Danio rerio: one gene and its partners. The protein of the gene in region 4 binds, or shares a complex with, the protein of the main gene of each other region. Links are inferred from orthologs where the notes say so. Each region holds a gene or a part of one and is shown on either strand. Other genes may lie near its edges. The genes, in order: smek1, ppp4r4, ppp4r2b and ppp4r1l.

What was found.
Region 1: ppp4r1l (region 4) and smek1 share a complex: the UniProt entries of both Homo sapiens proteins name them as parts of the PP4 complex. The link is inferred for Danio rerio from reciprocal best matches to the Homo sapiens genes PPP4R1 and PPP4R3A.
Region 2: ppp4r1l (region 4) and ppp4r4 share a complex: the UniProt entries of both Homo sapiens proteins name them as parts of the PP4 complex. The link is inferred for Danio rerio from reciprocal best matches to the Homo sapiens genes PPP4R1 and PPP4R4.
Region 3: ppp4r1l (region 4) and ppp4r2b share a complex: the UniProt entries of both Homo sapiens proteins name them as parts of the PP4 complex. The link is inferred for Danio rerio from reciprocal best matches to the Homo sapiens genes PPP4R1 and PPP4R2.

What each region holds. Positions count from the first base shown.
Region 1 is NC_133195.1:36,336,137-36,344,736, reverse strand, and holds part of smek1 (serine/threonine-protein phosphatase 4 regulatory subunit 3), read left to right. Parts: exon of another isoform or gene 1-559; intron 560-1,521; coding exon 1,522-1,624; intron 1,625-1,796; coding exon 1,797-1,955; intron 1,956-2,478; coding exon 2,479-2,648; intron 2,649-2,726; coding exon 2,727-2,869; intron 2,870-3,765; exon of another isoform or gene 3,766-4,526; intron 4,527-6,123; coding exon 6,124-6,314; intron 6,315-6,452; coding exon 6,453-6,664; intron 6,665-8,600. UniProt on the Homo sapiens protein: Regulatory subunit of serine/threonine-protein phosphatase 4. May regulate the activity of PPP4C at centrosomal microtubule organizing centers.
Region 2 is NC_133195.1:30,091,862-30,100,461, reverse strand, and holds part of ppp4r4 (serine/threonine-protein phosphatase 4 regulatory subunit 4), read right to left. Parts: intron 6,622-8,600; coding exon 6,439-6,621; intron 6,350-6,438; coding exon 6,244-6,349; intron 6,150-6,243; coding exon 6,002-6,149; intron 5,873-6,001; coding exon 5,731-5,872; intron 4,804-5,730; coding exon 4,765-4,803; intron 4,655-4,764; coding exon 4,583-4,654; intron 3,530-4,582; coding exon 3,466-3,529; intron 3,327-3,465; coding exon 3,246-3,326; intron 2,515-3,245; coding exon 2,424-2,514; intron 2,305-2,423; coding exon 2,243-2,304; intron 2,158-2,242; coding exon 2,001-2,157; intron 602-2,000; exon of another isoform or gene 467-601; coding exon 421-466; 3' UTR 1-420. UniProt on the Homo sapiens protein: Putative regulatory subunit of serine/threonine-protein phosphatase 4.
Region 3 is NC_133181.1:46,719,651-46,728,250, reverse strand, and holds the start of ppp4r2b (serine/threonine-protein phosphatase 4 regulatory subunit 2-B), read right to left. Parts: upstream 8,186-8,600; 5' UTR 8,096-8,185; coding exon 8,062-8,095; intron 6,777-8,061; coding exon 6,695-6,776; intron 6,204-6,694; coding exon 6,033-6,203; intron 2,573-6,032; coding exon 2,479-2,572; intron 1,991-2,478; coding exon 1,953-1,990; intron 1,842-1,952; coding exon 1,767-1,841; intron 1,692-1,766; coding exon 1,551-1,691; intron 1-1,550. UniProt on the Homo sapiens protein: Regulatory subunit of serine/threonine-protein phosphatase 4 (PP4). May regulate the activity of PPP4C at centrosomal microtubule organizing centers.
Region 4 is NC_133181.1:52,154,088-52,161,379, forward strand, and holds part of ppp4r1l (serine/threonine-protein phosphatase 4 regulatory subunit 1), read right to left. Parts: intron 7,074-7,292; coding exon 6,973-7,073; intron 6,874-6,972; coding exon 6,753-6,873; intron 6,633-6,752; coding exon 6,498-6,632; intron 5,254-6,497; coding exon 5,112-5,253; intron 2,930-5,111; coding exon 2,784-2,929; 3' UTR 1-2,783. UniProt on the Homo sapiens protein: Regulatory subunit of serine/threonine-protein phosphatase 4. May play a role in regulation of cell division in renal glomeruli. The PPP4C-PPP4R1 PP4 complex may play a role in dephosphorylation and regulation of HDAC3.

The DNA of each region.
Region 1 (8,600 bases), on a different chromosome or scaffold from region 4:
TCTTTTCGTTGCAGCTGGTGAATGAACAAGAAAACATGTAACTTAGTCTAAATTATTTTTTTACTTGCCGTGTTTTACAACAAATCAGTCACACACATGCCAAATTGAAGCCCAGTCCCTTAAAGGACCTGCACATTTAACAACACGTGTAAACATAACGGTTGTTTGTAATTTAATATGATTATTTGTTTTTATCAACGCGTTGGTTGGCATATGTTGTTGATGTAAGATTGTATTCCATTTGATTGGAATATTCATATTGATTATAACAAGTGCGCGTGAGAGCAGTCCACCGCGCACACACACACACACACACACACACACACACACACACACACACACTGTAGCATGGGTGAGAGGTGAATCCAGTATATTATAGTTTATTGTACATTATACTTTTATAATGGCCATTACTGATCATTAAAACCAATATTCAGCAAAAGACAGTGTGTTTCGTATTTTGAATGAAAATGAAAGGAAGCATTAATTTTATAGAAATATACATTCAACGAACATGACAGTCATAAATATGCAGCTAAACGACGCCTCAACAATTTCTGCTGACTGTTAGTTAATCTCAAAATGAAAATAGGCAGTTCCTTATATCAAGTTTTCATTTTATTGGTAAGAAAGTAAAACAACGTAGCCAGGGTGATGTAAATGAGGTTATAAAGTATGCTGTTCCTTTGAAGATTTACCCGGAGTGTCCTCGGGAGTTTGTTTTCCATATCTAACCTGTGAAGTCTGAACTTGCTGGGAGAGGATGCAAGACTGAACTGTATGTAGGCTACTTAATATTAAGGAAAAAGCTCCCATCAGAGAGGTCTGCTGCTCTGCCCTTGTTTTCAGATGTCTTCGCTTTCCGCCATCCATACTAACACAGAGCAGCAGCATTTTAAAATGAAAACAGCCTCTTCAGCATTTTCAAATAGCTAAGTTTTTGGCGTTGAAAACTCTGGCATAGTTTGGACGGATGGCGCAACTGTAGAAAAACTTGTGTTTTCAAACTAAAACGAATAAGTGTAAACAGGGCCTTAGACTCGTTTTATGCTTGATATGCTGTAAAGTGTGAACACAGTGGTCAAACAGTGGTCACAGTGTCTGTCAATAACATGTTTACATGGGGGGAAAAAGACAAACAATGGAGACGATGAAAAAGGATTTGGAGAGTCAGTTTACAACTGTTTGATGTTATTCATTTGTGATCAAATTGAGAAAAGTGCTTCTCTGCCAGGTTTAAAGTGCTTATTCTATGGAATATTGTGCTTTGTTCCCTCTTTATTATTGCTGAATTTAAAGGGATCTGCTTTTACCAAGTTGTTTTATTTGTAATATTTTTAATCAGATAATTTAGCAATTTTAATTTAACATTACATTTTAAATTTAATACATTTCTATATCTAATTAATTGTTCAGATGTTCTGAACAAAGTTGTTTCTTGTCATATCACCCAGCTTTTTTGTTCTTTGTCAGATTGTAGAGAAACATTCTCTTTTTATTGAATTGTCTGGTTCCTTGCAGAAAACTGAGAAGACCGAGTTTTTGAGCTTCTTCTATAAGCATTGCATGCATGTGCTCTCCGCTCCACTTCTTGCCAACACCACTGAAGAAAAACCCAGCAAAGGTAATAACTTTTACTATCTTTTTGAGCATGTGTGTGTATGTGTACGCTTGTAGGATGCATGCAGGGTGAAAGTTTTGGCAGCTTTGTTTTGAAGCGTTCGTGTGACTATTTGCATACATATTAAAAAATGTAAGCTTTACAGACTTTTCACTGTGTTTGTTTGTCTTGTCAGATGATTTCCAGACATGTCAGCTGCTGGCTCTGATCGTAGAGCTGCTCACTTTCTGCGTGGAGCATCACACGTATCACATAAAGAACTACATCATCAACAAAGACATCCTGCGCAGAGTGCTGGTGCTCACTGCATCACAACATGCTTTCCTAGCCTTATGTGAGTAAATTCTCACTGCACAAATGATACCAATTTTATAATGAGCTAAAGCTTTATGATATCACATTTGAAATGAAAATATTCTGCAGAAAATATTGTATTTCCACTTGCTGTTGTCGGTTGCGAAGATGAGCTTTTGCTTTTTTTGCTTTGCTTAACACTATAGCAGTTTAGATGAACTCTTTCTTAAAGTATTAAAGTTATGAAGTCTAAGCTAAGTAGAACTGTACAAATGACAGGCCTTCATCATAGTTAGTTATGCTACTTTTCATGAGAACGTTTAAATCAATAACCCCAAACTCATTAAAGTTGATCCATTTGTATAATGAAAGGCTCTGTTTAGTGTTACACTGTTATTATAACACATGCCAGGTAATTCTGTTTTCAGGGCCAGCAGCATTATTAACAAGCATTTATTTATTTTGGACAAAGACCAAACACTCGGTGCTTTCAAACTGACAGACATCACTTATACCTTGGCTGCAAAATCTCATTGTACCTTTCCCACTTGTTTGTCATCCAGGTGCTTTGCGTTTCATGAGAAAAATCATTGGCCTGAAGGATGAGTTTTATAACCGATACATTATGAGGAACTTCCTGTTTGAGCCAGTGGTCAAAGCTTTCCTCAATAATGGATCCAGATACAACCTCATAAACTCAGCCATTATAGAGATGTTTGAGTATGTCAGAGTGGTGAGTACATGGTTTCACACATCCCTTCTCTCGATGCTCTTGTACACACTGCTAGGTTGATATGTTGTGTGTGTGTAGGAGGATGTGAAGTCACTGACGGCTCATATCATAGAGAACTACTGGAAGGGCCTGGAGGACGTAGACTATGTTCAGACGTTTAAAGGACTAAAGCTCCGATATGAACAGCAGAGAGAAAGACAGGACAACCCAAAACTTGACAGGTCAGTGGTCATCACATTTAGTAAAATCACCATTCACTCACTGATTATAACTTCACTGAAGTTACTTTAAGTTCAGTGTTTCTCAAACTTATTTCATCAAGTCCCACATCAGAAAGAAATAGTCTCAAGTACTACCATAATAACCAGTATTAAAATACAGTAGTGTGGTAGGCCTAATTAAGCAGCTATGCTCTGCAAAGTTAAAAAACGAGGCATATTAATTTGTATTAATAAGAATGTTTCTTAGTGTCAGCCACATTATACAACATTATAAATAGTTTGAACATTAATACAGTACTGTTTTTATAGGTTAAAAAAAACAAACAAAATGAATGTGTTTGTCAGAAAAGTAAGTGATCGCATGCAAAAAATACACAGCTTGACCAATTCATACATGATTTATTTATTCATACATACAAAATTTCTATGATTTGAGATCTCATCTTTTGTAGACAGAGTAAATGGGACCTTAGTCTCTGTGTGCAGTTAACCCAAACTTCACTAATACATTTTAGTTTTTAAAACACAAGTTTGGCTACAGTTTTTAAGCCCCGAAAACTGAGCTTTTTGAAAACGCTGAAGAGGCCATTTTCATTTTACAACACTGCTGCTCTTTGTCATTGTGGATGGGGGAAACTGAGACATCTTAAACGGAGGCATGGCTGCAGACGTTCGCAATCTGATTAAGGCTTTTTCTTAATATTAAGTGCATAAAGTTCAGTTTTGCATCTTTTCCTTAAGATCCGACTTTGCAAGTTTGATATGGAAAATAAACTCCCAAGGACATGTCGGGTGTACCTTCAAGGAAAAGTGTAGTTTATAACGTCATTCACATCACTCTGGCTACGCTGTTTCACTATCTTAATAATAACAATCAAATGAAAACATGATCTAAGGAACTGCCTACTTTCATTTTGATATTAACAACTTAACAGATGCCAAAAATGTAAGGCATCATGTAGCTACATATTTATGTCATATTCACTGTATGCATATTTATAACAAAACGGAGCCTATAACTTAACTGCCTCCTTTAATGTTCTTCAAAAAATATGAAACATACCCTCTCTTTTGTTGAATATCAGTTTTAATAATCAGTAATATCAATTATAAAAATATAATGTACTATAGGTTTATACAATATAGGCAAGCAATCAGTCAAATGTGCACTATCAGTGTTTGTAGTTACATTAATTGATGTATAATTTGCGCTCCGCCAAAACGCGTTACCAGAGAACAAGTAATAGATTTAAAAGACCAAAGAGTCAATAGATAGTCAAGATGACTTTAATCTATCACATTTAACAACTATAATTAGATAAAATCCAGCAGTAGATCTATGGTGAACTTTGACGTGCGCTGCTCTTACCTGGGTAGGTGGGTGTTTTGACTTCATGATGTAAGAATAGGCATTGAAGTAAATAACATTCATATTGTGACAGTTTTTTTGTAAATAGGAGAAGAACCATGCATCAAGCAAATTACTGCCAAAAAGAGAATAGTTTATTATACAAAAATCAAAGATAAACAGAAAATAGTTATGAGAAAGAAGAATAAAATAGATGACAACAAATAAAAAACATTTAAATTATATACAATTTATAATAACAAAATCCAAAAACAATAAACCCCGCAGGGGAAAAGGACAAAAGTGGCGCTGAAAGAAAAGAAAATAACAAAAACAAAAATCAAACTCAGTATAATCCTTTAACCTAACTGAAATAAAATAATCGAAAGCAAGTCTTCGGCGTTTACAAGCCCTAACTTGCCTACTCTAAACTTAACCAAACCGTAAAATACAAAGCCAGCGCTCACTCTTAAACCTGGTGTGTCTATACACACTTTAACTAAGTGATGTAAGGATGTACGTCATGTGACATCTACCTCTCCAAATCTCCCTGGGTAAAACAAAGAATATCAACAAAATTTCAAACAAACAACAAAAATAATATTAATGAAGATAAACATAATGGCAAGAACAACTTTTGACAAAGCAATATTAAGTACCACAAAAAAACAAAAGAAATAACGAGTGGCAGACTAAAACAAAGAACAAAACAGGAACGCAAAAGCCTCTGTCCGGCGTCCCACTCGTCGTCTTTTTAAAACCCTGGCAACCACTCAGATTGACTGCCGAAGCCACCACATCACTGAAGATAATGATGATTGACTGCTCCTACAGCCAATAACAATTCGAAGGGGGTTGACTCTTTAAAACTGAAAGAGAGAAGAGAGACAGAGAGAACAGGTCCGCGTGTGCGCAAGAGAGAAAAGAGAGAGACATGCATGCAAAATTCCAGGAGCGTAACAGTGGCCTTTAATTGGGCTATATTTTAGCTCCAAGCTTCATGCATGGCGAATTTGCTTGAGTCTATGTTTTGTGTTGAGCAACATTTAAATCACATCCAGATTAATTGGCCTAAATCTGACATAACAAATTAATCGAAAGTCACACTGCTTTACAAAACAAATTTCTATATCAAAATAACAAAAACTTTATATATCAAAACGTGCTTTAAATTTCATAACTATGGACACATTTTAACACATTTGTTATAATTGTTTTACCAATGATGCAGCATGGGGAAATTCCTGACTTTGCAGTAACTGAAATGTCAACACTGCACTGGTTTGCAAAAGTGCTTCACTAGCGCATATCTGCTCCAAGCGCTGTAGCTGTGCACCTCTTTTTCTGGCTCTGCACCAAAGTGGGTTGATTTTTAGCGTATGATGGAGTGATGAACTAAAGTAAACATTATAAGCACACCGATGTGATCGTATGCTTCAGGGAACAGCTGGCACTGATCACATTAGTGTAATTGTTTGCTTCAAAGGGTTAAAAGTGTGTTCATTTTTTTCTTTCTTTTATTATTCAATATTTCTCCACGTACCTCTAGATGAAAGTACCACAGTTTAAGAACCACTGCTTTAGTTTTAATAGGGCTATAAAATCAGTATCTTGTTTTATAGAGGAAAAAATATTTTCATACAAAACATTTTTTTTAAGTGTAAAATGTATTCTTTATGAAATACAAACTTAAAATAATTTGATAAAATAAAAAGTAAACTGTATAGGAAGTTTTCCCCCTCTGTTTTAAGAACAACTGTGAAACTATTGAAGTCAATATTTAAAAGGAGATTGCATCTTTGTCACCTTTTTTCTTTTTTGGAATTTGAGCTGCTATGATTTTATTGGTATCAAATGGTGTCATTCCATTATGTTTTTTTTCCCCTGTCGTCTTGATTATTTTCAGTATGCGGTCGATTCTGAGAAATCACCGTTTTCGCCGGGATGCACGGACACTGGAAGACGAGGAGGAGATGTGGTTTAATACGGATGAGGAAGACTTAGAGGATGGTGAAGCAGTTGTGCCTCCGTCGGACAAGATGAAGAATGACGAGGACCTTATGGATCCCATCAGCAAATTTATGGAGAGGAAAAAATGTATGTTACTGCTACTTACAGGATGGTGTGATGATCAGCTAGTATTGTCCTCCACTTGATTGCAAGATAATATTATGTAATGTGTGTTGTTTGTTTGATTGATAACTTTTTTGTACTTTCTCCTTCACTTTCCACAAGTGAAAGATTCAGAAGAGAAGGAGGTGTTGACAGGGAAAGCAAGTCTCTCAGGACGGCAAAGTCCCAGTTTTAAACTGTCCTTCTCCAGCTCGCCAAAGGCAAGCCTGTCCTCTCCGCCGACTGCATCCCTTCATCCCGGTTCACCTGGTTCTCCTAGCTCTCCCGGGACAGGGGCCCGGAGCTCTCCCCCTTCGGCAGCTGTCACCACTAAGGTATTTAACAAGAATTGAAAGTGCTTTAAAATTCTAGTTGTTTCCTTTTTTACTATTGTAAGACAAAGTATTTGGCAGGGTTCTAACAGGTGCTGGAATTGCTTGAATTTTAATCTACTGTTTTTTTAAAGGTTTAAAAAGTGCTTAGATTTTGGATAAAGTGCTTAAAACTGCTTAAAAAATGTAATTGCTTTTGCAATATTGTATTTTACTAAATATGTAATAATTATTAACTATTTAAATAAAATAAGCCTTTTTGCTTTTGCATAAAATGAAAACTTGCAGAAAATGTGTGTGTACTGCAGGCAAAGTTTAGGAAAAGTTTTAAAATGCACCTGCAAAAGCTTGAAAAGTTCTAAGATTTGACTTTGGAACAGATGCAAGAACCCTGACTTGGGCACCCTATTGGTATAGGCCTTTTAAGACCCCAAAGATAAAAAGAGGTTTGCAGTACATGAGCAGTGATATTCTGTTAGCAAACATCCCGTATTAAATGATTATGTAAATATGTGCTCCACCTTTTCCTCCCAATAAACAAAAATGACAGAACTTAAGAAAGCAGCTGATATTGATGTTCAATTTTGCAGTCTAGTCCACTCACATCATGTGTCTTTAAATGGCACTTTAAACTGTAGATTGAGTTTTAAACCAGTGTTAATGTTAGTGTTGTTTTTTTTTCTACTGTAAATCGGCTATTCAATGTTTGTGAACAGGAAATGAACCAGAGAAAAATTCACAGAATACTGAGAGTCTCCTACCTGCTATACAATCTCCACTGAGCATTGGTAGTTGGTAGGTGTCCCAAAAAGGATATATTTTCAAAACATTTTCTTTGGAAAACTTTTTTTTTTTTTGAGTTTCAATTGAACTCTGTTTAGGCCTAATTTTGTCTATAATGATGCCACATCAGCTTATTCCTTGAATTGGCTTGAAGCATATTATCCAATACTTAATAAAATAATAATCCAGTAAAAGTATCAATTACACTCTTTCAATTTCACTTAAGTGAAAGTACAAAAGCATGCAGTGAAAAACCCTTTTTGGATGAGTTCTTTTCCCAAGAGAGTTACGATATTGATAATGCCAGCTCACACGTTTAAAACAACAAGTATGACATTATCATAGGCTGTAAATAATGTACACCCATATTGTGACCATATCACAATCTCAATTAGTTTGCAGACAACTAACAGTAGTTGCTTAAAGTTATTTCAATAATAAATCATCAATTTGAATTAGTAAATGTTGCCTCAAGAACATACACAGTCAGATCAGTCCCGTTCATCAAAGACTCTTTAAGTGTGATTTGGAAACCATTTCGAGATGTTAACTGAGAAGAATCAGCTGATTTGTCAGTGGGTGAGCATTTCTCCAGTCTCCAGTTGTATGCTCATTTATTTACCCCACAATACATCCCTAGAATAAAAAGCTCCATGTTTAGAATGGTGCTCAATATTAATGACTTCTGCTCTGATGCTGTCACAGTAGATGCCTATTGAACTTTTTATTTATGTCTAGTAATATTCAGATTTGTATCATATGGCTCATAACAAAAAATAGTCTCAACTACCGTATCAGATGCTTGATGCTTAGTTACTTCTCATTAAGGGGTGCATAATATATCGTTTCAGCATTTTTATCACAATGTGTGAATCTGCAGTAGTCAGTTCAGAACGTTTAATTTGTGGGGTCATCGCAAAGTTTAACCACATAACATTAGTGAAAGATTTTCAGTTGGATGCGTTTGTAAGACTGATGCCCGTGTAAGATTTAAGCAAACTTAAACTAAGAGGTTATAAAGGTATATAAACATAAATGAATGAATTATACAATGAAGACTATACAGTGTTGTTTTATATTTTATTATTAAATTTCTGTACCTCAACACTCTCTTCATTTCACAGAAACCCATCAAGTTCAATTGTATTGTATTTTA
Region 2 (8,600 bases), on a different chromosome or scaffold from region 4:
GGCACCAGGCACAATCTCATTGGTGGGATGGGATGGAGAGTTCCAAAACTCTTCAATCATAAAAATACATAGTGCTTCTTTTTCTCTTAGCCACTTCAAAAATATAAAACAGAGAATTTTGCAAAGCATGCTATAATACAAGAAACAAAATAATGAGGCAGTAAATTAAATACATTCAATTACTCCTCAACTCTCGGTTTCATTTTATGATGTATGGTGTGAGATTTTGATTGTTTTTTTTGTATGAAATAAGGCAGAGATGGATCAATGCAGACCTTAATTGATGCCCCAGCACATCTTAAGCCTTTTCTGGGATAGAAGAGAGAATGGACACATCAAAATGGAGGGACACTGCTGTGCTGCTGCTGCAGAATGAAAAGTCTTGTAAAAGGGGCTTTAAGTCAGAAGGCAAAGTGGTAATCACTCTCTCCCAGACTGCATTCCAAATGAATTCGACTTCCGCTGTCTGTCGAACACAAACAGAAAGACAACATAAGATCACTCTTGCTGAATCACACCCGTTCATAATAAAACAAAATTGCATTGCTAAGAAAAAAGAAATGAAAATAAATCAAAACATTGTACAAAACAATTATAAAAATGTATTATAGATCCCTTAAACCAACACCAAATCCTTTAAATGTTCATTATTATTCAGAACAGATAGAAATGTATGTAAAACAAACTGAAATTTTTTTATAATTTTCACCTTAAACTAGAATGATAAAAGCCTAAATAAATTTATTTAAAAGGAACACCTTCAAATATTTGGGCCACTGGAAGTTGAAAAAAATTGTATGCAAAAAAATGTGTAAGTAAGGTTTTGATTCAGCTCTGCATGCGCACAATGAAATAATATAAATATATATATATATATATATATATATATATATATATATATATATATATAAACGTGTCTGAACAGAATAAAATCATTGTGATAAATGAATAAATAATAATAATAAATAAAGTACTTTGACCTGTAAAATGCCTCTTGTTTTCTCTCAATAGTATGTAATTAATAAATTCACAGTATATTCACGTGATTGCTTAAATAGCCATAGAACTTAACTGTCAAATGTAAAAATGTACATTATATCTTGTGGCAGTTGCCTTAATAATCCAGTAGGCTCAAAAGGGAGCATGTTTGCCCTCAGTTTCAATATCTATATGACATCTATGAACACTACAATTGGAATTCTGCAAGGCTATATAAGCTGTTCCTTTGTTTTTACTATAGGCATAATGACTTGATTCAGATAAGAAATATAATATTGTTTAAAATATGAAGTAATGATGTACTTGTTGTATAGATACACTCATTTGACAATGTGTGCAGATTTTGCAAATGCTTTGCATCCTTGGAGTGAGGTGCAGCATGTTTTAAATAATGAAATAATGAGTTGTATACAGCCGAATACGGCACTTAGATAATAACCCAGGAAGCAAAGAATTCTGGCTGAGATTTAGCATAAAGCTGGCACAGCAGGCATTCAGACCAAACATGGCCCAGGTTTGACAGCAGTCAGGCACCGTCTTTAAGGCGGCACACAATATTTGGGCCAGATGTCAAATGTAGTATTTGGCCCAGATGTTATAATTTGATATGTGGGCCATGTGAGTTTGGCCTATCTTGACCCACATTTAAATTCTTATTTTAAAAAAAAACAAAAAAACAATCAGGTCTCTGCAAGAAAAAGCATGCCCATAGCATGTCTAAAGTGCAATGCTTTATGGATTTATCAATTTCATTGCAGTCGTGACACACCAACATATCTGGCCTAGTTCAGGGTTAGGGATTGTTAATTTGGCTGAGATATGGTCCATGTTTGGCCCTTGTCTGGAAGCCAGACTTGGTCCAGTCATGTACCGTAATTTACTGCAGCATGTGGGCCAAGTAAAAGCTGATTGTGTGGGTCAGAGCTGGGCCAGAGATATTTTGCTAGGTGGGGAGTGGCTGATTAAAAATGGGAGTTTATCAGTCAATTTGAGAAACATACACAGAAAGTTTCCTAGACTGTGTGTCTTTATTCCCGTTACTCCGGTGATCCACAGAGCTGCTGGTGTTGCTGCGGATCAGAACAGGCATGGACGAGGACGATGGGGTGGAGGAGATTGAAGAAGCAACATTAAAGTGGTGGGGTCGCAGGTTATCATCTGGAAAGCAAACAAGTACATAAGTACATGTAAACAACAATATAATATAACAATATAATTCACGAAGAACAATCTCATTAGTTACCATTTAAAGGTAGCATAGGACTCTTTCCTGATCCAGGGCAACTTCCTGAATCTTTCAGTTTTCTAAAGAAAAAATTGTGAGTGTAAATGTTGAAGTACTAGCGATGATGGGTCACAGGTCATGGGTCAAAGAACCAACTGCAGTAGCAACATAAGAAAGCTTAGGGGATTTTGTTACGTACAAGGTTTTGTCTGAGTTTGTCATCTTGGGTGTTGTGGGATGGCCACTGAGAGAACGACTGCGAGCTAGTTTAGCCCTCCGCATCTCCTTCCCTAGAAACAGCAGCAATGTGGAGATGATAAGCACCGGACCATTACAAAACTTTAAGAAAATGTTTAACATTTTTATGTCACTGGAAATTTATCAAACTAATAACAAAAACAATAATAACAAAACGATTACATAAGTAGCTTTCTGCTACACGCTACAGATTTTTTTGTTCACAAAAGTTAAACAGTATTTCTGTGAAATATTTTTATTGTAAAAAATATTTTTAATGTTTTACTATTTTGTTAGTTTTCAAAATGGAATATTCAGCATTTCCGAAAATATAATAAAATGTTATAATAATTCAAGCATGTTCCATCATGTTCCTTTACTTGATCATTAAAAGGATTGTTCACCCAAAACTGAAAATTGTGTCATCATTTTCTGACCCTTCGCAAATCTGTTTGAGTTTCTTTTTTCTGTTGAACACAAAAGAAGATATTTTGAAAAATGTTGGAAACCTGAAGCCTACTTACAAAGTCAATGATTACATGTTTCTAACATTTTTCAAAATGTCTTGTTTTGTGTTCAACAGAAAAAAGAAAACTCACAAAGATTTAAAACCACTTTAGTGTAAGTAAACAGTAAGTAAATATTCATTTTTGTGGGGACTATCACAATAAATAAAATGTTTATCTGATTAAAATTATTCCAAAAAAAAAAAGAAAAATCTAAAATTGACAAATTGTTAATTGACAAAAAATTAATAATAATTAATGTACACAATGATTCTAACCAGAAGAAGAGGACGATGATGCTCCTGATAATGTTCCTGACATTCCTTTACTACCAGATAGGCCTGATTTGCTCTCTCGTTCTGGAACACAACAATATAATAAACCACAACATAAACACACATATGCTGTACAGTACATTTAGGAAACTTACAATAAGCTACAACAAAAAGCACAAAGTAAACTTCTTAATGAAGTGGTGCATAAATAAACATCACTCACGTTTCTTCTCAGACTGTTTATCTCCAGCTAGTTTTGCTTCACTCTGCTGTCTTTCCAACAGTTCCTGTGTTAACAGCAGCACAAATACAGTAGCAACAAATAGTTCACATGTAGGGATCTAGAACATATACAAGTATAGTTCACAGACAAAAAATAAATTCTGCCATCATTCACTCATTCTCCACTTGTTCCAAACCTATTTGAGTTTCTGGTAACACTATTTTTAGATGTCCGTGCTACACAAGTTCTACAGTATGTACTTACTATAGTGTTACAGGTTTGTGATTAGATTTTGCTTATTTAAGAAGCTGCAAAGATGTGTTTCACAGACTGCTTCGGAGGATCGTTTCCATTCAACTTCTTTTTGCTTACCTACCGCTTATATATTATTTTTATTTTATTTTGGAATTTGATCCTATGTTATCTGTTGTTTTGAACTATATATGTTATGTTAGACATTTAATTTACATATATTTAACCTTTAAATAAATATATTTTTGCATTTTCATTCTATTTAGTTTGGTGCTCTTCATTTGTTGCATACCTAAGCCGGCAAGCAATAATAGTAATTACAGGTAATTATGGTTGATTGCATTCAGCTAAACCTAATCCACATTCTAACCCCAACCATATAGTAAGTACATATAAAAGTACTTGTAATGAATTAATATTATTTATTAGTCGCTGAATTAATAGTTACTCTGTAACAAAGACATCTGAAAATAAAGCATAACCGAGTTTCTTTCTTCTGTTGAACACAAAAGAAGTATAACTAAAGAATGTTGGGGAAAAGCAGCCACTGACTACCATAGTATATTTTGTTCCGACTATGGATGTCATTGGCTGTTTTTCTCCTATGTCTTCAAAAGAAGAAAGAAATTAATAGAAGTTTAGAACCATTTAAGTCTGAGTAAATGGTGAGGAAATTTTCATTTTTGGGTGAACTATCTCTTTAAAAATCTCATTTTTGTCTTGTTGGTACTGAAAATAGCATGTGACCGCCCACATTTACACATAAGGAAAAGCCTATTTGCTTTTTCAAAATGGTTTTGGTGGAAAAAACCATAACCATAATAATAATTTGCCTTCAATTTCAGTAATTAAAAATCTCTCTCACCATTTCAAGTAAAAGGGTCTCCTCCTTCTCCTTTTTCTGATCCAAGAGCTCTCTTTCATGCCTTTTATGATACTACAAATATAAATATGGGCAAAGTTCGCTCACAGTGCTCAAAAGAAATAACTATGGTGTACAGAAACTGTCATCATAACCAAATATAAAAAGTCACAGATCCTTCATACCGGCTCTGTAATGTCCATTTTGTCCAGCTCCAGAACTGTCTGAGGGAAAATAATAAAACAGTTTTTGCAATATCATTACTTGTAATTAGGGATGCTCCGATCAATCGGCCAGCGATCGGTATTGGCTGATAATTACATTTCATGTCTCGATTGGTACTCGCTAATCTGGCCGATCTCATGAACCGATCGCAATAGTTTGTTTACGAGTTTACAAGAACTTATAAGAAGTGTTTTCTACAATATTACAAATTCATTAAAACCTGACTAGAAATATTAGGGAAATAAAAATGAGACATTCTTCCATCATTTGCAATGTTTCCATATTGCTTAGTTAGTCATTTTTCTTACCAATTTTTTTGTATCTGCTTTCTTAATTATTTTCTGAAAAGCTGCTTCTGACCATGACAGGTACACACTAAATGCTTTTAAGAGACATTTAAGGAAATATATGCAACATCTTGAATTTATTCTCTTTCGTAAGGCAAGATCTTCATTTAGGTATCATACTTGGAGGTAAAATGTGCTTTAGGCATTATAAAGCTTGAAGCATTAGAATCGGTACTTGGTATCGGCCAATCACCATGACAAGGAATCAGTACTCAGAATCGGCTGCAAAAATCCTGATCGGAGCATCCCTACTTGTAATAAATTGAATCACCTTCAGTATACTGTACAGAATACATTTTACAAAAGAGTGTTTGTGAATAAAATCCAATAAAATAAAATAAAAAAAATCCAATAAAATAAAATCTCACTTCATAAGAAATCCATGCAATCTGATGTCTGGTGTGCAAACATGTTGCACTGAAACCCGGCGCATTTATATTAAATTAAACTGCAGCCTGTGAAATGCGATAACACTAAGCCAAACCGTAATATTAAACTTATTTATAATTATTTATTATCATGCTGGCCCAAAACATTTGCCAATACAATGCTAATGCACCTTAATAATGATTTCCTCACCTTTCTCAATGTCACCACTACATCTTTATCCTTTTCACGGCACAACAATTTCCGAACACAGAACTCCAGCTGCTGAAGCAGATGCTTTTCTGTTGGTCTGATGGTGGATCTCAATTTGGGCAACATATAACAGAGCTTGTACCTGCCAAAATGTTTTGTTTTTGTTAAAAAAACAACAACAATTTGAAGAAATACTTTAAAGCATTAAGTTATGTAATTCAAATGAATAGCAAAGTCAAAAAATAAGCAATAATGTGGAAAACTTGCTCACCTGACATTGGCCACAGGATCACTAACTAACTCAAGTGCTGGAATAAGAAAATGTTTGCAAAAATATGATTTGGAGAAGAGGTCTATTGTGATATCACACAGGTCCAAAAAGCGAAGCCTGTTCCAGTAGCTTCTACCTTGAGCAAGATCTAAAATACAGGAGAAAAAAACACAGTCCCGACCACATAAAAAGACAAAATTTCAAGCACAAGGTGTCAAATAAGTATTTTTCTTTCTTTTTACCTTGTTTTATTTTACTCATTATCTCTTGCCGCTGTTCTTGTTTGCGGTTATAGCGCAGGAACACACATAACGTCCTGACAGCTTCCCGCTGGACTGGCAGAACATTCTACAACAGAGTAAACAGAAAAGACAGATCAAACATACTGTATAACGGATGAGACTGTACTGAAAGGTCTGTGTGTGTAAGATGTTTACATTAGTGGTGATGATGCTGAACATCCTCTGAAAGAAGCGGAAGTAGATTTGGTCTCCAGAAATGACACGAGGCAGACACGAGTAGCACTGAAGCAGCTTTTCATGAACTCGCCAGTGAAGGGAAGAAGCCGCTTTCTGCTCTGCTGCTACCAAAGCTGGCACCAAGTCTTGTATATTCACCTGCTGTAAAGGTGAAAGTGATATAAAAGCTACTATATAAACACTCATATTCAGCAAGATGCCTGCATTCAACTTATTAAATGTACTGTAACAGAAAAGACTTTTACATTAAAATCAAAATTTTATTTCAAATATTTGAATAGTCTTTTGAGCTTTCTATTCACTAAGGAGTCCTGGAAAATTCTAACTTGCTTTCTACGAAAACATTACACCGCAGAACTATCTCTTAAAACAGGGGTGACCAACCCTGTTCCTGGAGATCTACCGTCCGGCAGATTACAGTTGCAACCCATATCAAACACCTGCCTGTAATTATCAAGTGCTGTTCAGGTCCTGATTAATTGGTTCAGGTGTGTTTGATCAGGGTTGGAGCTGAACTGTGCCGGAAGGTAGATCTCCAGGAACAGGGTTGAGCACCACTGTCTTAAACACTGATAATATTTTATTTTGAGCATGAATTCAACATATTAGAATGATTCCTGTGCGTTCATGAGTCACTAAAGTCTGAAGCAACAGTTGCTAAAAATGTAGCTAAAGTATGCCATCACAGTAACGCATTTAAAAATATATTGACATAAAAATATATTTTCAATTTAATTAAAACATACTATATTATATTTTCTTTAATATATCAAACTGAATACTGATTTCAAACATTTCAATTTTATTTACACTTAGAAGATTACAGTTATAGCTATCAAAAGTTACTTTTATTTTGTATAAGAAAAAAACAACTTCAAAATAAGAATTATAAATAGTTCAATAGGAATATTAATGACATATTTGTATAAATTATGATGAGCTGTTTATTAAAAAAATCATTCATTTTAGAAATCTTTTTGTATTATTATTAGGACTAAAAGTCTAAAACAGGTTTTGTCAAAGTTTTTTCCAGTCCCAGATTCAAATGCGCTCTCTTATTTCAGCTCATATGTACCTCTTAATCCAAGTAAACTGAAATAAAGTCAAAACGTTATTGGTACCAATATTAAGTTAGCAGAAGCATTTTGGCAATAACAAACAATGCATGCCATTTTACACCTGTTGCTCAATCCATCTGTTTTGTCTACTTTCACCCACTTGGCCTATTTCTTTAAAGGGAGGTTGAATAAGTGGGTTGAATGAGTATGTACAGACTTTTCTGATCTTTTCAATCTAATGGAACTTACACATGAATGTGAAAAGAGACAACAGGACATTATATTACATGGAGGACGACAGCTTTTCTTTCTACTCTGATAGCTGTAAAACTACACAGAATGCTATGAATTTGTGCAAGAATCAGGGCTGTTATGAGAACATAGTTTTTTTTACTAGTTATTGTTGACGTTTAAACTATTACTTCACCCAAAATGAAAATTCTGGTCTTAATTACTCATGTCTTTCCAAACCCCTAATAGCTTTGTTCATCTTCAGCACACAAATTCTCTGATCCTCCAAATACACTAATGGTTCCAAGATTCTCAAAGTCCAGAAAAGAAACCAACCTCTTTGACAAAACATTCCATGTAACTTCACTAGTTTAACTGTAATCACACAAAGCTACCAGAACACTTTTGTGCAGCAAAAAATCTTAGATTGGTTACTCACTGAAGCTTTGCAGTGAAGAGCCTGGTCAGTACCTGGATTGGAGAACATATGGGAAAACTAGATTGCTGTTGGAAGGCCAGCAGGGGGTGCTCAACCTGCGGTCTGTGTGAGTTCTTATGCCACAGTAAATTGAAGGGGACACTATATACTGTCGGTGAGTGCTTTCTAGGACCAGATTAACCAACGAGCATTATGGGCACAGGCCCAGGGGCTCCTGCGCACTTGGGGCCCCTGTGAGGGTGGAAAAAATGTGGATTGTGGAGTGTCTATTTAGGCTAAGTGCAAATAGTGCACCTCGTTGGAATAAGCTAACCAAACGATTCCCGCCTATAGTGGCACACCTTTCGTGCAAATCCTTATGTACCACCTTTTGCAGCTTCAATTCCAACAAC
Region 3 (8,600 bases), about 5.4 Mb from region 4:
CCCACATTTAGACAATTTCACTTGCACACCCCCTCCAAAATTATAATTCACGTGCAAACACCATTCACATATTACTTGCTGCATTTAAAGTGTGTAGCATTAATCACGTTGAAACATAAATGTATAGCTCAACTGATTCAGTGTGATGGCTGAGCCTGTTTCTCTGAGGACAACATGGTTGGATTCCTGACACGACTAACCATCAATCATCTTCCACTGTCAATAAGTGTGAGCCATACCATACTTGCTTTTGATGTACGTACATACGGAAAATGCTGCTTCCCAAAACCAAGTTCGCAGAGCCCCGACGGTGTGGTTGAGTTGAACATTGTTTACATGGACACCAATACTTTAATAGATTTTAATACACTTAAGAAAATACTCCGATTAAGAGTCTACCATGTAAACAATGATTTAGGATCACCTTAATCTGACTAAACTCGTAACTGAACCAAATAGAAATAGAATCAAGACATGGAGTATGCATATAATAGTGGAAATACAGAAGTAAACACTGCAATCAAACTATTACCGTCATGTAGGACTTTGCCATATTTTTAACAAGATACACACGTGGCGGTCCGTAAATGACTGCACACAAACACACACATCGCAAAATGCTGAGGTTTTTTTCTTTCCATTTGGCGTGCATCATTAACCCTTTGATGCACTACATTATTTTTCTATATCTATTTTATAGCTTCTGCATCTAAGGGTTAAATTCCATAACACTCTCACCAGTCCTTACTCCTTATTTACGTCTAATACCCCAGTTTGTCATGGGGGCATGACTGAAATGTTCATGATTTAAAGTGAAACTCTTACATTGAAGCACTTTACGCAAACACCTTAATTATATTACCGTCTATTAAGGCAAATAACTAGATTACAGATGTCCATGTAAATGTAGTCAGTAGTGTCGTTAAAGTTAGTGAAAGGTCCAGAAGAGCATCCAGCTGATTTTGTTTGACGGTTCATCGGTATTACTTTCATTCACTGTCATTCATTTTAAAAAGCAACCGGTCCATTATATTTGTATAGATTTTACTCTAATGCATAAACTCTACAGGTGCCTGACAGTTAGATGTGGAGCTAACATTAATCAGATTCACTCTAATGAACACACAAAACTTGTCATCATTATTTACTCAAGAGCATGCCTCAATGTCTTGTGCCACCCACAGATTAAAAAACCCAGCTCTAGCACTGTTCTTCTGGTTTTTCTGAACCCACCCTCCCTCCTTCCCTCTATTTCCTTACTTCCCATTAACAATCCTATGATCCTCTTTTCCCTCCTAGGTTGAATTTGGGGGTCCAATCACTCTACCAAAACATTACAGAGACGGTACCCCCACTATTAGTCTCAGGGCATCTTTGTAGGATGCTCCATCAACCTACCGACCTATTCACCGTTTATCTTCTTACTTCCTCTTCATCCCACTGTTCCCCTACCATCCCTTTCATCCTTTCAACAAAGTCTAGCTCAAAAGTGTGTCATGGTCCATGCAGGTGAAAAGTGCATGAAAGATGAGCTGAAATATGATGTCTACCTGGTCGTTTTGCTGTGTCCCTGGGGTGTGTTTGTGTCTTTGTTTTCAGTACTGTCCGGAAGGCCATTTGTGGCCAGCGAACTGGACATGGAGTGTTTCTGTCTGTTTAATGGTCTGGGTGTTCCTGGACCGTTCACTTTCCTGAAATATACAGTGCAATATATAGAGCATATATTTTTTAAAATGACTATCTTAGGCTTCATATACTTTCCTTACCTCTCTGTAAATGCAGATGTGTTTCCAGACAACATGACTCCATTCATTCTGTTGACACCACTGCAGCCATTTTTCCTACAAAGAGGGCAAAAAAAAGCTCTTCATTCATTTCAGAGTAAATGATCACATTTTGTTTATTTGTCATACAGAAGATCTTAATCTTTATGGCGAACAGTAATAACTTACTCAGATGTTGGATAAATACAACTGACCACCATCACATTCTGAAGAAAAAGAGAAAAGTCAATATTATTAACCTTCACGATTCTACTGCTATAAGGAAAGGACAAAAAAAATAAAAGCTGGACTGCTTGCATTTGACTAGTAATCAAACCATTCAATGAGCTAAACTTCCTCTTTACTTGGTAATAAAAGCCCATTAAGCAAACATAAGCATACAAAACACTATAAGCTATCTTCTATATTGATAATAGCACACCTGCAAAACAAATTCACATTACCGTAAACCAACAGTGTGTCTTTATGGAAATCAGAGATAGCAAGTAATAATATTCCACATCCGACTTTGGATGCAAACTACAATACAATGCAAATACAAACAGAACATACAGGAAAGGGTCTGTCACCATTATAAGGCCAGGACAAAAAGGTGAAAGTATTTAAAGCAAATGGACCACTGCTTTCATTTATTAGTTCCTTATTTCCTTTATACAGGTCCTTTATTATTTTTAAGAATGCACCACACACTGACCTTCTCTACTCCTCTGAGAAACTTCTCAGTTCCTGTGTAGTTCCTCTTAGGTTCAGTAAGCAGCTCGCACAAGCGCTGGATAGTAAATGGGATCCTGGATAGAGCAGACATTTGAATTAACTGGTGCATCCTCCACAACAAACCACTAAGAATTAGGACCATAACATCATTTTTGTTATAAAACAACAGCCAGGAGAGGGCACACTTGCTCTGGGGTAAACACCCAGGCCCTTTCCTTTTGTCCAAAAGCAAGTTACAGTAAGCATATCATTAGGGCATTAAAAAAAAGATTTCTTACGTTCCTCAATTTTTAATACATTTTCTGTACATTATACAAAACAGGCATTTAAAATGTAATTTACCCTTCGCTAAGCCCCGCCCTCTTTAGTTACGTCTATTACAATATGTATGTGCCCATGTCAGACATTCTCAGGGATTTAATTAGTCATTTTTGGCAAACAGGTGAGATATCTGAGAAAGGCAGACAAAAAAGGACTGCAGTATGCATTTCGGGGGTATATTTCATGACATAATACGCAACCGATTAGTAAATAATTTAATCAAATTTAAAGCTAAAGCCTAGCCGCCTCATGTGCTGAGCATTCTACAGCTTAGTTCATGCACAGCAGGTTAGGTGAAATTTAAAAATAATCTAATAATAACTAATTAAACCGTGATTTAGCTTTTTTGTCAAAAAGCCTGATAGACTAACTGCTGTGCAATGAAATATAGCGCTACTAACCGATGAGGAAACTAGCATGGACAGTGCTTGGACATATAATTCATTCATAGAAAGAACAGGAAATTGATAGATTGTGCCGAATATTAGCATCATTTACCCATAACAATGTACAATATCTATAACTGTCAGTATGTTTGTGTGCTTTTATACCGTTTCTATTCTAATTTGCAGTTAAGTGGAAAAAATAAATAGATTGAAATGCACATCAACGTATAAATGGCAAAAGTGAACAAATAGATTTTTCCCTACCAGCAAATATTAATCTGACACCAAATATAAAAGCAGACACTAACTCGCTATATTGTCATCACCAGTGACTAAATCTCCAAAAGACAGACTAAAACATCAGTGAATTGTAGCCCTGACATGGGCATGAGGGTTATAAATTACTGAAAAACAGCTGTGGGTGAAGTATATTGATCGCAAGAGCTCAGTTTGTCTGTTTTGTTCTGTTGATACGTAATCCAATACTCGTAGCTTGAAACGGAGGAAAAACATGAATGGATTGTGCTGCTTTTATGGATCATCACACAGCTTGATTCATGCTGGCTTATCTCCCTTTGGATTTTAGGCTTTAAAATGGGAAAAAAATTCCCCAACCCCATCCAACAAATGTTTAGGATACCGGGTATCAGATTTGCACAAGCCATATGCACAACGCTTTGGTTTGTTTCCCCCGCTTAAAAGCTTGACAGACCTCCTGCACATAGCTATGGTTGCTAAGCCACGATTGTTGTATGGTGGTTTTCAGGTGTGGCTTAGCAAAGGGTCAATAACGACTCAGATAATACTGTAAATATACAACAGTTTGTGCGTATTACTATAATATTAAAGCTCATTTGCTACTTATTTTGAAATAAAACCCATCTAAAATTAGATATTTCATTTTTTTATATATATATATATATATATATATATATATATATATATATATATATATATATATATATATATATATATATATATATATAATATTGTACACAATAGCTTGAATAAATGACATTAAGACTTCATTGCTCTGAAGTTCATTTCTCAAGCAAACCGATGAGCTGTGGACACTGAATGACTTGCTTGATGTAAATGTAATGATTCATGACATATCGTGTAACGGATGTGGAAAATGACACTCAAAACGCAAGCAGGGAAAATGTTTTTAATAGCACCATGTAATGATTTAATGTAATGACTAACAAACAATGCGTCAACAGTCATCTCAGACATGCACACAGGCTACTGATGCATATGTCCATGAGAACAAACTACTACTACTACAATGGTGTCATTTTCTTCCCAAATTTGCATAGGGCATTGGTTGATGAGTAATGGCCTGTTTCCATTGAATGCTACGGTATGGGTCGTTACACTCTTATGGCCGTTTCCACTGTCAAAAGGTACCTAAAAGCAGGGTGTGAATTATACACTGACAATTAAATGACATCTATTTTATTAATGCAAAATATTTCATTTTTCAGTGATTTGTGATATAGTTTATGTATTCTGACCTACAATATCCTGTGATATTGTCCTCGCCAAACCTCACTGTAATTCCCACCCTGCCTAAAAGTGAACCTTACCGTACCACTTTTTGGGTACTCTTTCAGAAGGGTACCTAGCACAACAAAAGGGTACCAAAAGGCAGAGCAAGACGCGCAGCTGAATGCTATTGGTTTAAGTCATTAGCAGGAGACAAGTCATTAGCAGGAGAATACAAACAAAGGACCACCATTTTTAAAAACACAGCAGAGACATTCGACTGTAATACTATATACATATAATAACAAGCCATGGTCGACCAGAGCTTAAACAAGCCTTGTTGTCGTCTTGATGAACAGCCACAAAGCCAAGAAGAGCAGAACTACCCTGTGCCCCATAGTTGTTTACAAGGTCATCTAAAGCACAAGCGGTTTTGCTTCCTCACTTGAGCTCGCCGTGTGTCTATATTTAGAATAACAAACTTCTTGATCGAATGATAATCACACATGATTATTGAAATGTTTTTGACACCCGATTCTTTCAGGAACAGACAAACGCAAGAGTGATGCATAAAAAAAACAACGAAAGAAGCTCAACAAAACAAAGGAACAAAAATTATTGTTTTAGCAACCTAAAACATAAACAAACTGCCATGTTTAACTATTAGCATCACCTTTTGGACTATTATGAACTCAGAATGATGGAATGACTTTCTAACAAGAGCTTGAACATGAAGTGAAGATTAAGGATACAGATGAGAGGTTTGCACTGATGTTGCATGTTGTTTTTAAACTCAAATAAAGCCTAAATGTATGTGATGTCGTTCTTCTGTAATCGGTAACATATCGGAAACTATAAGTTTCTACATGTGTTCATACATGTTGCATTTATTTATTTATTTTATATAAATTGCAGATGTTTCAGTAAGCCATTTCGCACTATTTTGCATCATTGATCTGCAGTTATAATCAAATCTTGTTCATAGACAAGTTAGTACTGAACATTTATACACAAGTATTTATGTGTATAAAGCACCTGTTTTGTGAGAAGTGCTTCTTATATGATATGTGAATGACCTGTACTGCTTTACTTTGAAATGTCCTCGAGCGAAAATGATGTAGACAAACCTTCTGTCGTACACCAAGCCCAACAAAAGAGGACCATTTTTACCCTTTAGGTGGTTGGATTCCAAACCTGATAAAGGTGACCCGTACCGTACTTTACCACTCAGTGGAAACGGGACATTAGATGTTGTGCCGATCAATTTCAGATAATGAATGATAGACATTAAAATTGCCACAACACAATCCCACAGTTTCGCCAAGAATAACAAACTTACCCATTGTATTCATTGACAATCTTTAGGATTCGCTCCTTCATTTCTTCAAAGGGAATTGACTCCACGTTAGGGTTGGCAGGCCCTCGTTGCTCTGGAGCCGATGCATGGAAATCCTCCATTACTTTTTCCAGTTTAAATACGAAGTAGGTTTTAAATTGAGACCAGGACACCCTGAAGAGATATACAGCATTCACAGCTCAGTTTATTTTTAGATTTGTCAGTCACAAAGCTGTTTATTATATAACTTACTATTATATGGGCTTTAAATGATTTGGTTGCAATTGTTACATAATGTGAGTAGAGTCCAGGGTGATGTGAGTGGCATAAAACCAGCACGACTGTTAATAACACATTTCAGTGTCATTGAGCAAATATATTTGACAGCAGAAGTATTACAAAGAGATAGATATTAATATTTTTTTAATTTTCATTCATGTATTCTAAAGAGTTCATGAAATGAGAGCAGGTCGGCCAAGTCAGATCTAGTCGATAAGTACAAGGTTTAGTTTGTTTTGGAACAAAACCAAAAGGTCATATAACAACCCACCCTCTGGTGTTACCTAAAAAAGCAGTTATGATTTTTAACAAACCACTAGAAGACAAAGGTGAAAAGGGTTTCTGTGTCCCACTTAGATCACTCATAGATATTTGAATGTACTTACAGGGTTTCCCCAGTCTTTGCAATATGGCACAAAAACTGGTCCAAAACTGTAGACGCTTCCTTCTTCACCTTCTTGTCAAAATCTGCAGGAGACAAAAGCAAAAGTTATTTTGGAGTGCATGCAACTCCAAATCCTGCTAATGCATTTCAGTCTATCAATAATATTTTAGTTCTGATTGACTCCATTCTAGTTCAGACATCACAAATATAAGGAGGAAATAGTCGTTTATTGTTCTTTCAATTATTTGTTCGTATTTTCACACAACTACAAAGCGGCTCTCTTTCTAGATAATCTTCATGCATTAAAACCAAACACAATTTTCTATTCTGAGCGTCCAGAAACAACTATAATATTATGCACACCTTTATGAAAATATAGAATCATTTTCCAAGCACAGATCTATTAACAGGCAAGCAGTGCAACTATGATAAACATCTAGGTTATGTAAACATGTCGTTTGTAATCTTAAACTCATTTACAAGTTCCATAACTTTGTTATATCTTTTAGCCGTTACCTTTCAACAATTTGGAACAATATATATATATATATATATATATATATATATATATATATATATATATATATATATATATATATAATCATTTAGTGATCAAAACCACTTCCACTTCCCTAAAAAATAAACAATATACGTATATAAAAAATAAATATAAGAACGGCAAATCACTCATTTACATCAAATAGGCCTTGATCAGACAATTGTGAGCTTTCATTAGAAATATGAGAAAATATCCTATTCCAAACACACTTACATAAAGCTCATACAGGTACAATAAATAGTAGTATTATATTATTTTGTCACCAAAACAATTTGTACTACTCACAAAAATCATTATTAAAACATATAAATAATAATGAGAAATTATTCATTGATATTTTTTTAAATAAACTAGGCTAAGAGCAGAGCTAAAGTGCAACTTAAATGAAAGATTTCTCGTTAAATACAAAAAGAAAATCACGTTAAAGAAAGAACAAACTCACAAAGAAAATGTTAAAATCATTCACAAGTTTATAGTTAACACTGAACACACAGATGTGTAAGGTTAGAATACTTAATTCAACTCTACATCATAGCAGTCCACTACCTAGTAAACTCCAACAATAGCCTTTTTATTAACGTATTAATAATCCAACCCTCCATTTTCTGACAGAAATTTAAAGTCGTCGTAAAAATAGAAGAATGAAACCTGCTGATCTGCTCTTAACACACAACAGACCTCGAAAAACAGGAAAAGCCATTTAGCCACAGGCCATGCTAGCATGAGCTAACTCACATTAACCAGACAATAACCACATATAACTCCATCCTAAACTCGCCCTGACCGCCTCAACACACGCGACCGGGTACCTTTGAGAGCCTCCAGAAGAGTGTCTATCTCCATGTCTGTGTTGTTTTCCCTGTCTCCTGTTGGAAAGCGAGAGCTGATGGCTGCTGTTGAGCTCAGTGAAGAAGAGGAGATGGGAAACATTTCAATATGGCGGCGACTGCGACGTCACTGCCGGCCGCTCTTCAGGAGCGCTGGCTGTTGCGCAATAGCATGGCCGCGTTCCAAAGCCTAGTCAGCCTCCTATTTAGGCATCATTTCTGGGTGGTTGAACACAGTGTTTTTGTTGCTGTGCAGCAATACCTAGTGAACGTCTCGTGTAGGCGGTATTTTAAAGCAGAATAGTCACATTTCGAGCTAAGTGTATGATCATAAGTGCTGTTAATGTTTAGCAGCCTACAAGGATTTGAAACACTTCTATGTGACTTGAATTATTTAACCTATTTATACCTGAACTCTCGTCTGTAAATTTAATTAAACATTAGAATGACTAATCTGGCTCTGAATTGTAACTAAAACAAAACGTAGCCTAGCCAAATCATTCAGCTACAAAGCCTAGGCT
Region 4 (7,292 bases):
GAGATGCACAGAAAATTACAAAGGTTGTAACCTGAAAGGTTAGGATATAAAATCTTTAACCATGATACAATGAGAAAAATAAAAGATTGGGGGGGGAAATTAAAAGCTTGTTTCTTAATCGTGTAACATTTCCAGTAGATCAGTACATACGCAGACAGATGAAGTGGTTTTTGCTTTTGACATCAGTGATGTCAGTGCCTCAGGAAAATCACACACACACACACACACACAAAACAACCTATTGGAGAAAACATAATCTAACAAAATATAAATCTACTATTAACAGGGTCCATATAAGTGGAAGAAAAACAATCGGACAAACAAAAAAGACACACAAACACACATGAGAACACGAGGAAAACAACGTCCCCCTTCATACAACCTCAAATCAATCTTCGCCACAGGGAAAGAACAAAAACTGGCCTTGAATCCTGCCGATATCATCAATAAAATCATATCAGCGATTTGATCACAGGCTGCATTTCAGAACTAGACTAAACCTAATATATTTTCTTAAAAACAATTCCATTTACACATTCCATAAACATAATCCATATACACACACATCTGTGAGAATAAACGCACTGGATCCGAGCACCACTTGAGTTTGGTCAAGAAAGTCGCCTTGTTAAAAATTCACGATCCAACAGATTTATTATTACCATTATTATTATTATTTATATAAAAGAACCTGTCATTCTCTTTCCATTAAACCCTTAATGAACAGTAAAGTGCTCCTGGCAAAGTTTGCCCTTGTATGCTGATGGAAGTCCGGTCTCGCAATTGAAATACTTAAACAGTTAAACAGGCATGCCGATAACCAATCAGCATCTAATAGAGAGTTAATCGATGCCAAGAGCAGCACCGCCATGCTTAATAAAAACGGATGGTCCGACTTCAAGAGCGCAATAGCTTATTAATCTGAAAGCAAATCTGTTGGAATAAGAGGAATCATGGCGTGCTTTGATTTAACTAGTGCAAATCTGACTAAACAGTGTGCTCGCTTTAGACAACCTGTCAGCGCCATCTGCAGGTCGAGTTCACAATTGACAAATCAAATGTCATTGTAGTCTTAAAGGAACACAACACTCTACTTTAGAGTAAAACAGATGAGTTTTACCATTTGTGAATCCATTCAGCCACAACATGGGTCTGGTGGTAGCACTTTTACTTTAGCTTAGCTTAGCATACATCATTGAATCGGATTAGACCATTAGCATTGCTCAAAAATCAAAGTGTTTGGATAAAGGATTTATTTAAAGCTTGACTGTTCTGTAGTTTCACCATTAATAAGACTGACAGAAAATGAAAAGTTGCTATTATCCAGGTTGATATGGTTATAGGAACTATACTCTCATTCTGACCTAATAATCAAGGAACTTTGCTGTAGTCGCATGGCTGCAGCAGGTGCAATGATATTATGTAGCACTGTTCCCTAGCTGGGGACTCTTTTCAGACACTGCATGATATCATTCCACCTGCTGCAGCCATAGTACGACAACAAAGCCACTTGACTATTAGGTCAGAATGAGAGTATAGTTCCTATAACCCCATCAACCAGGAAAATATCAACTTTCGATTCTCTGTCAGTCTTAGGACACGAATTAACTATAGAACAGTCAAGCTTTGAACAGAAGGTATAATTGTTTTTGAGCATATAGCTAATGGTCTAATCCGATTCAATGAATTATGCTAAGCTAAGCTAAAAGTGCACTCACCAGAGCCAGATTGGCTGAATGGAATTAAAAATAGGAAACGGTTTAACTCAAGATGACTTGTAAAAAGAGCCTATTTCCAAAATAAATGTGGAGTGTTCCTTTAAAGCCTGATAAATAGTTTCATCTAGTGGTTCTAAAGTTTGCTTGGAAAGCACTGGTTTAACACCTCCCATGCCTCTAAAATACTGGCCCCTTTTATTAATAAAACGGCGAGGAATAAAACCGCTCTCCACCAATCAGGGAAGACGAGGACGAGCTACAAAAAGGATAGGGAGTTTTTTTGGGGGGGGCTCCTGAGCTGCAATAACTCATTTTCCACCACAGTCTGTGTGCATCCTGAGGGTTGGGTAAACAGGAGGTTGGTGAACGCAGCAACATTTCTGAGGCATCATCACTTGGGCTCAGCTCGATACCACTTTACGGCATTGCAGCTTTAAAAACAAAAACAATTCAGGTCTCCCTGAGTTAGTAGCACTTCACTGTGTCAGTCTGCTTGTCTTCTTAGTCCTTTAGCTTTAAGAAATCCACAAGAAAGAAAAAAGAAATGTACAGTTTGCTTTGGAGGGGCAGCTGGTCGCATCAGAACGGTTTGATGAGGAGAAATGACACAATCCACATACTTACGCTGCCACGAAGGTGCAAATGAAACCTTGCACCATTCAGAGAGGTGAAATGGTTGTTGTGTGAGTGAGAGTTTAGGTGGGCCTCACGCATGAAAAGTTTCCTTGATTTTCAATTCCAATATCTCATGATTTAATCATCTAACTGGATAAAAACCACAATGGAAAGTAAATCTGCATCACCTCATTGCTTATAGTTCCATAGATAGTTTCATGAATGAGGCCCACTTTGTGTATAAATCAAAACAATGCATAATATATGCATATACTAATTATGTGGATTGTGTTAGGACAGGAAACGGTGTGTGAGTGTGTGTGTGTGTGTGTGTGTGTGTGTGTATGCGAAGGTCTTGGTCAGTAGTTCCTATTTGTAAACGCTCGTCTGTGAATCCGTTTAGTGTTGTTCCTGCTGGTGCTTGTTCACATGTGCGGATTGTACAAGGTGCTAGATCAACGCTGTGGTGTCCATAATGTTTCTGTTGGGATCCAGTGTGGCGAAAAAGCGCACGTCTCTGTCTTCATCATTGCGGAGCACAGACAGAGTCTTCTCCAGCTCATCCGAATAAGCGCTGTCTGGGTCCTTGAAATACGCTGAAATCAGAGCGTATACAGAAAAGGCACTCAGTACTCATGACTACTGATTTAAGCTAAATATTAGGGCTGCACAATATATCGTTTCAGCATCGATATCCTAATATGAGAGGTCTGCAATAGTCAGGTTGCAGGATCGGCAACGTTGATCTGGGATTATACTCGAGCAGAATGCTGAACAAATCAAAAGTTTAACCCTAATAGAGCGAAAGTTTTTTTTTCTGTGACTACATAGAATTTAAAGCAAATTTAAACCATTTGGGCCACAACTGATCATGATGATAATTGTATTAAGTTATACAATGAATAAATACTACAGTACTGACTAGTCAACAAATATTGAGTACAGTAGTGAACATTTGAAGTGGATCAAAAGGTTTATAAAAATAAGAAATAGGTGTTGTTAAATAGTTTTAGGACAACTTTGATGAAAAGGTTTTAATCTACTTCAAATGTTGACTACTGAATAGTGTTATTTTACAGTCGCCTTTTGAATTTCTGCATCTCCGGACTGTCTGAAAACCATAAAGAACTACTTATTAGTATCTTTGCTCTTTTGTATTAAATTTTATGCATATACACTCTCGATCAATGTAAATTGATGTTTAATGGGTTACTTAAATGATCTTATAAAATTAGATTCATATCCCGATATACATTAACAGGCCACTTTATTAGGCACACCTTACTAGTAATGGACCCCCTTTTGCCTTCAGAACTGCCTTAATTCTTCATGGCATAGATTCAACAAGATACTAGAAAATTTCCTCAGAGATTTTGGTCCTTATTGACATGATTGCATCACACAGTTGCTGCAGATTTCACAGCTGCACATCCATAATGTTAATCTGCCGTTCCACCACATCCCAAAGGTGCTCTATTGGATTAAGATCTGATGACTGTGGAGGCCATTTGAGTACAGTGAACTCATTATCATATTCAAGAAACCACTCTGAGATGATTTACGCTTTATGACATGGTGTGTTATCCTGCTGGAAGTAGCCATCAGAAGATGGGAACACTGCTTATAAAGGGATGGACATGGTCAGCAACAATACTCAGGTAGGCTGTGGCGTGATGCTCAATTAGTAGTAATGGGCCCAAAGTTTGTAAAGAAAATATTCCTAACACCATTACACCACCTCCAGCAGCCTGAAATAGTTGATAAAAAACAGGATGGATCCATGCTTTCATGTTGTTGATGCCCAATTCTAACCCTACCATCCAAATGCCACAACAGAACATTTTTCCAATCTTCTATTGTCCAATTTCGGTGAGCCTGTGAGAATTGTAGCATAAGTTATCTGTTCTTAGCTGACAGGAGTGGCACCCGGTGTGGTCTTTCACTGCTGAAGCCCATCCGCCTCAAGGTTGGACGTGTTGTGTGTTTAGAGATGCTCTTCTGTATACCTTGGTTGTAACAAGTGGTTATTTGAGTTACTGTTGCCTTCCTATCAGCTCGAACCAGTCTGGTTATTCTCCTCTGACATCAGGGATTTGCACCCACAGAACTGCCGCTCACTGGATATTTTCTCTTTTTCGGACCATTCTCTGTAAACTCTAGAGATGGTTGTGTGAGAAAATCCCAGTAGATCAGCAGTTTCTGAAATACTCAGACCAGCCCGTCTAACACCAACAACCATGTCATGTTTAAACTCACTTAAACCCCCTTTCTCCCCTATTCTGATGCTTGGTTTGACCTGCAGCAGATCCTCTCGACCATGTTTACATGCTTAAATGCACTGAGTTGCTGCCATGTGATTGGCTGATTAGAAATGTGCATTAACGATAATAAATAATAAAGTGGCCGGTGAATGTATATTGCAGCAATACAAAAAATCTTAATGTCACCTTTTTTCAACAGTGTGCAGCGCTACTTAATGTTGCTTTAATAAAACATTTTATAGTTTGTTTGAGAAATGTGATGAAAATGTTTGAGAAATCGGTTCATTTTTTTCAAAATGCATCACTATTCACTCTTGAATTAATACTCATTTAAGTTTTTAACCGCAGATGGCGCTGTTTGCTTTTTAAAACAGCTGTACTCTGCTCTATCAAATTCTGTATAAATACAACTGGAGCCTAAAATAACCCTTAAGAAACGTTTAAGCGAGGTTTAAGGTTTGTGAACAGTTAAAAAACTAGCCATCTTCAACTTAAGTTTTGTGCGTGTGTGTCTTACGTTTTTCCAGCACGCTCTGCCGTAAAGCCTTGGCCACCAGCACACGGACGTTGGGCACAGGATCTGATGAGAGGCTGAGAAGACTGGGCAGAAGGTGCTGGGCAAACTGGTCCATGGGCATACAGTCCTCCTCCACTACCGCCTATATGGAAAGACAGAAAACATCCCAATAAACAATACACAATAAGATACTATTAAACATTACATGAGAGGTTTCACATCCAAACCCCATGATGTCAGACTTTAGTTCTTTTGAAGTGAAATTAAATTACATAAACAAAAAAAAAATAGACATAACAAAATAAATAAAACTACATGGCAATTCTTTTCTTTACACACACACACACACACACACACACACACACACACACACACACACACACACACACACACACACACACACACACACACACACACACACACACACACACACACACACACACACACGTGTATATATGTATGTATGTATGTAAGTATGTATGTATGTATGCATGCATTCATGCGTAGTAATATATATATAAAAAAATAGCTTAAAGGGGCTAAACATTTTGACCTTAAAATAGCTTTTAAAAATTTTTTAAACTTCTTTTATTCTAGCCGAAATAAAACACTCTCAAGAAGAAATATTAGACATACTTTGAAAATTTCCTTGACCTGTTAAACATAATTTTGGAAATATTAAAAAAAGCGGAAAAAAATCTAAGGGGGGGTTTAATAATTCTGATTGCAACTGTGTGTGTATATACATGATATTTGTTTAATATAACAGTTATTATGCAAATATATAGTTTTATATATATATATATATATATATATATATATATATATATATATATATATATATATATATATATATAAATCTAAATTGTCCGCAAATTTCTGAGAAATTTAATACCGTGTATAACAGCAGACTTTGAGACTTTAAGACTTTAGAATATTTTTAAGGGTTAAAAAACTTCTCTAAATTGATTTATCAACTTATAAGACCCCCACGGACACCAGGTAAAAATGATCGCACTACATAAAATATTAGTAATTTTCTGCCACATTTCAGGCAAGATGAAATAAAATAACTTACTTTGTTTCCGTACATATTGTGTTTTTCATTTTGAAAGCATTAAGAAAGTTTAGTGTAGTGACAATATAAAGAAGTCACCAGCTGACTAACACTTAACTGCACTATAGTCTATTATGGTGCTCTCATCATTTCAGATTTATCCATCTCGGTGTGTCAAGAAACATCATGACTATTCTATGTAAAACATTCATTTAAAAAGTTAAAGAGCAGCACAAAATAAGAGACGAACAAATGTGAAGAACAAATGAATAAGATTAAAAAGAAACCCTGTAAATCCTTTGAATGATTCTTGAAGTCAAACATCATACCTGGCAAATGAAAGCAAATGCCTGACGCCCGACCCATTTGGGACTGTGGCAGAACCTCATAATGAGCTCATTAATGAAATTAAGTCCCAAGTCATGAGCTTCACAGGAATACAACTTCTGCAGGATCTCCACCACCTGACAAACATTCACAAGACAACAAAAAATCATTGAATCAGCCCCACTGAAAAACAATGGAGCCAATAAAGCCAGCAGAGAGTTGTTTTTTCCAAATGTGCCACAGGAAACAAGTCTCACCAGTTTGTAGGAGATCCACCGCACTTCTGACACTTTGTCAGAGCAAAGGTTAAGTGCGATCTGTCTGAGGTAGTCATAGACGTCATTGTGGCTGTACAACTCGATGATCAGGATAAGCTGTCTGAACACACATACAAAGACAATACCATGAGAGTGAGATCACGCCTGGAGGTTTCAAAGGACACCGTGTAAATGAAGCTTTTTGTAAAGTAGTGCATACTCGGCTAGTTCATAGCGAAATCTCCAGTTTCGGCTGTTGTCGGTCACCATGAACTCCTGCAGCTGATAAAGATACTCCCGCCGCTTCTCGGCATGAAGAAGCTAAAAAAATAAAAATAAAAAAGGGCACACAAATAACTTTTGAGGACAGGGAAGATGGAGTGGTTGTTGAATAAAACAATTGGCTTTCACTTTATTGTGTGCTTGTTACAGTGGAATTAAATACTTTGTAAGATACTTAGCGTAAGGTTTGGTTTAGGGTTGATTGCTTGCAATTAGGAATGATTTACTGCTATCACTACTTAAAGTCTTTGTAAGAGA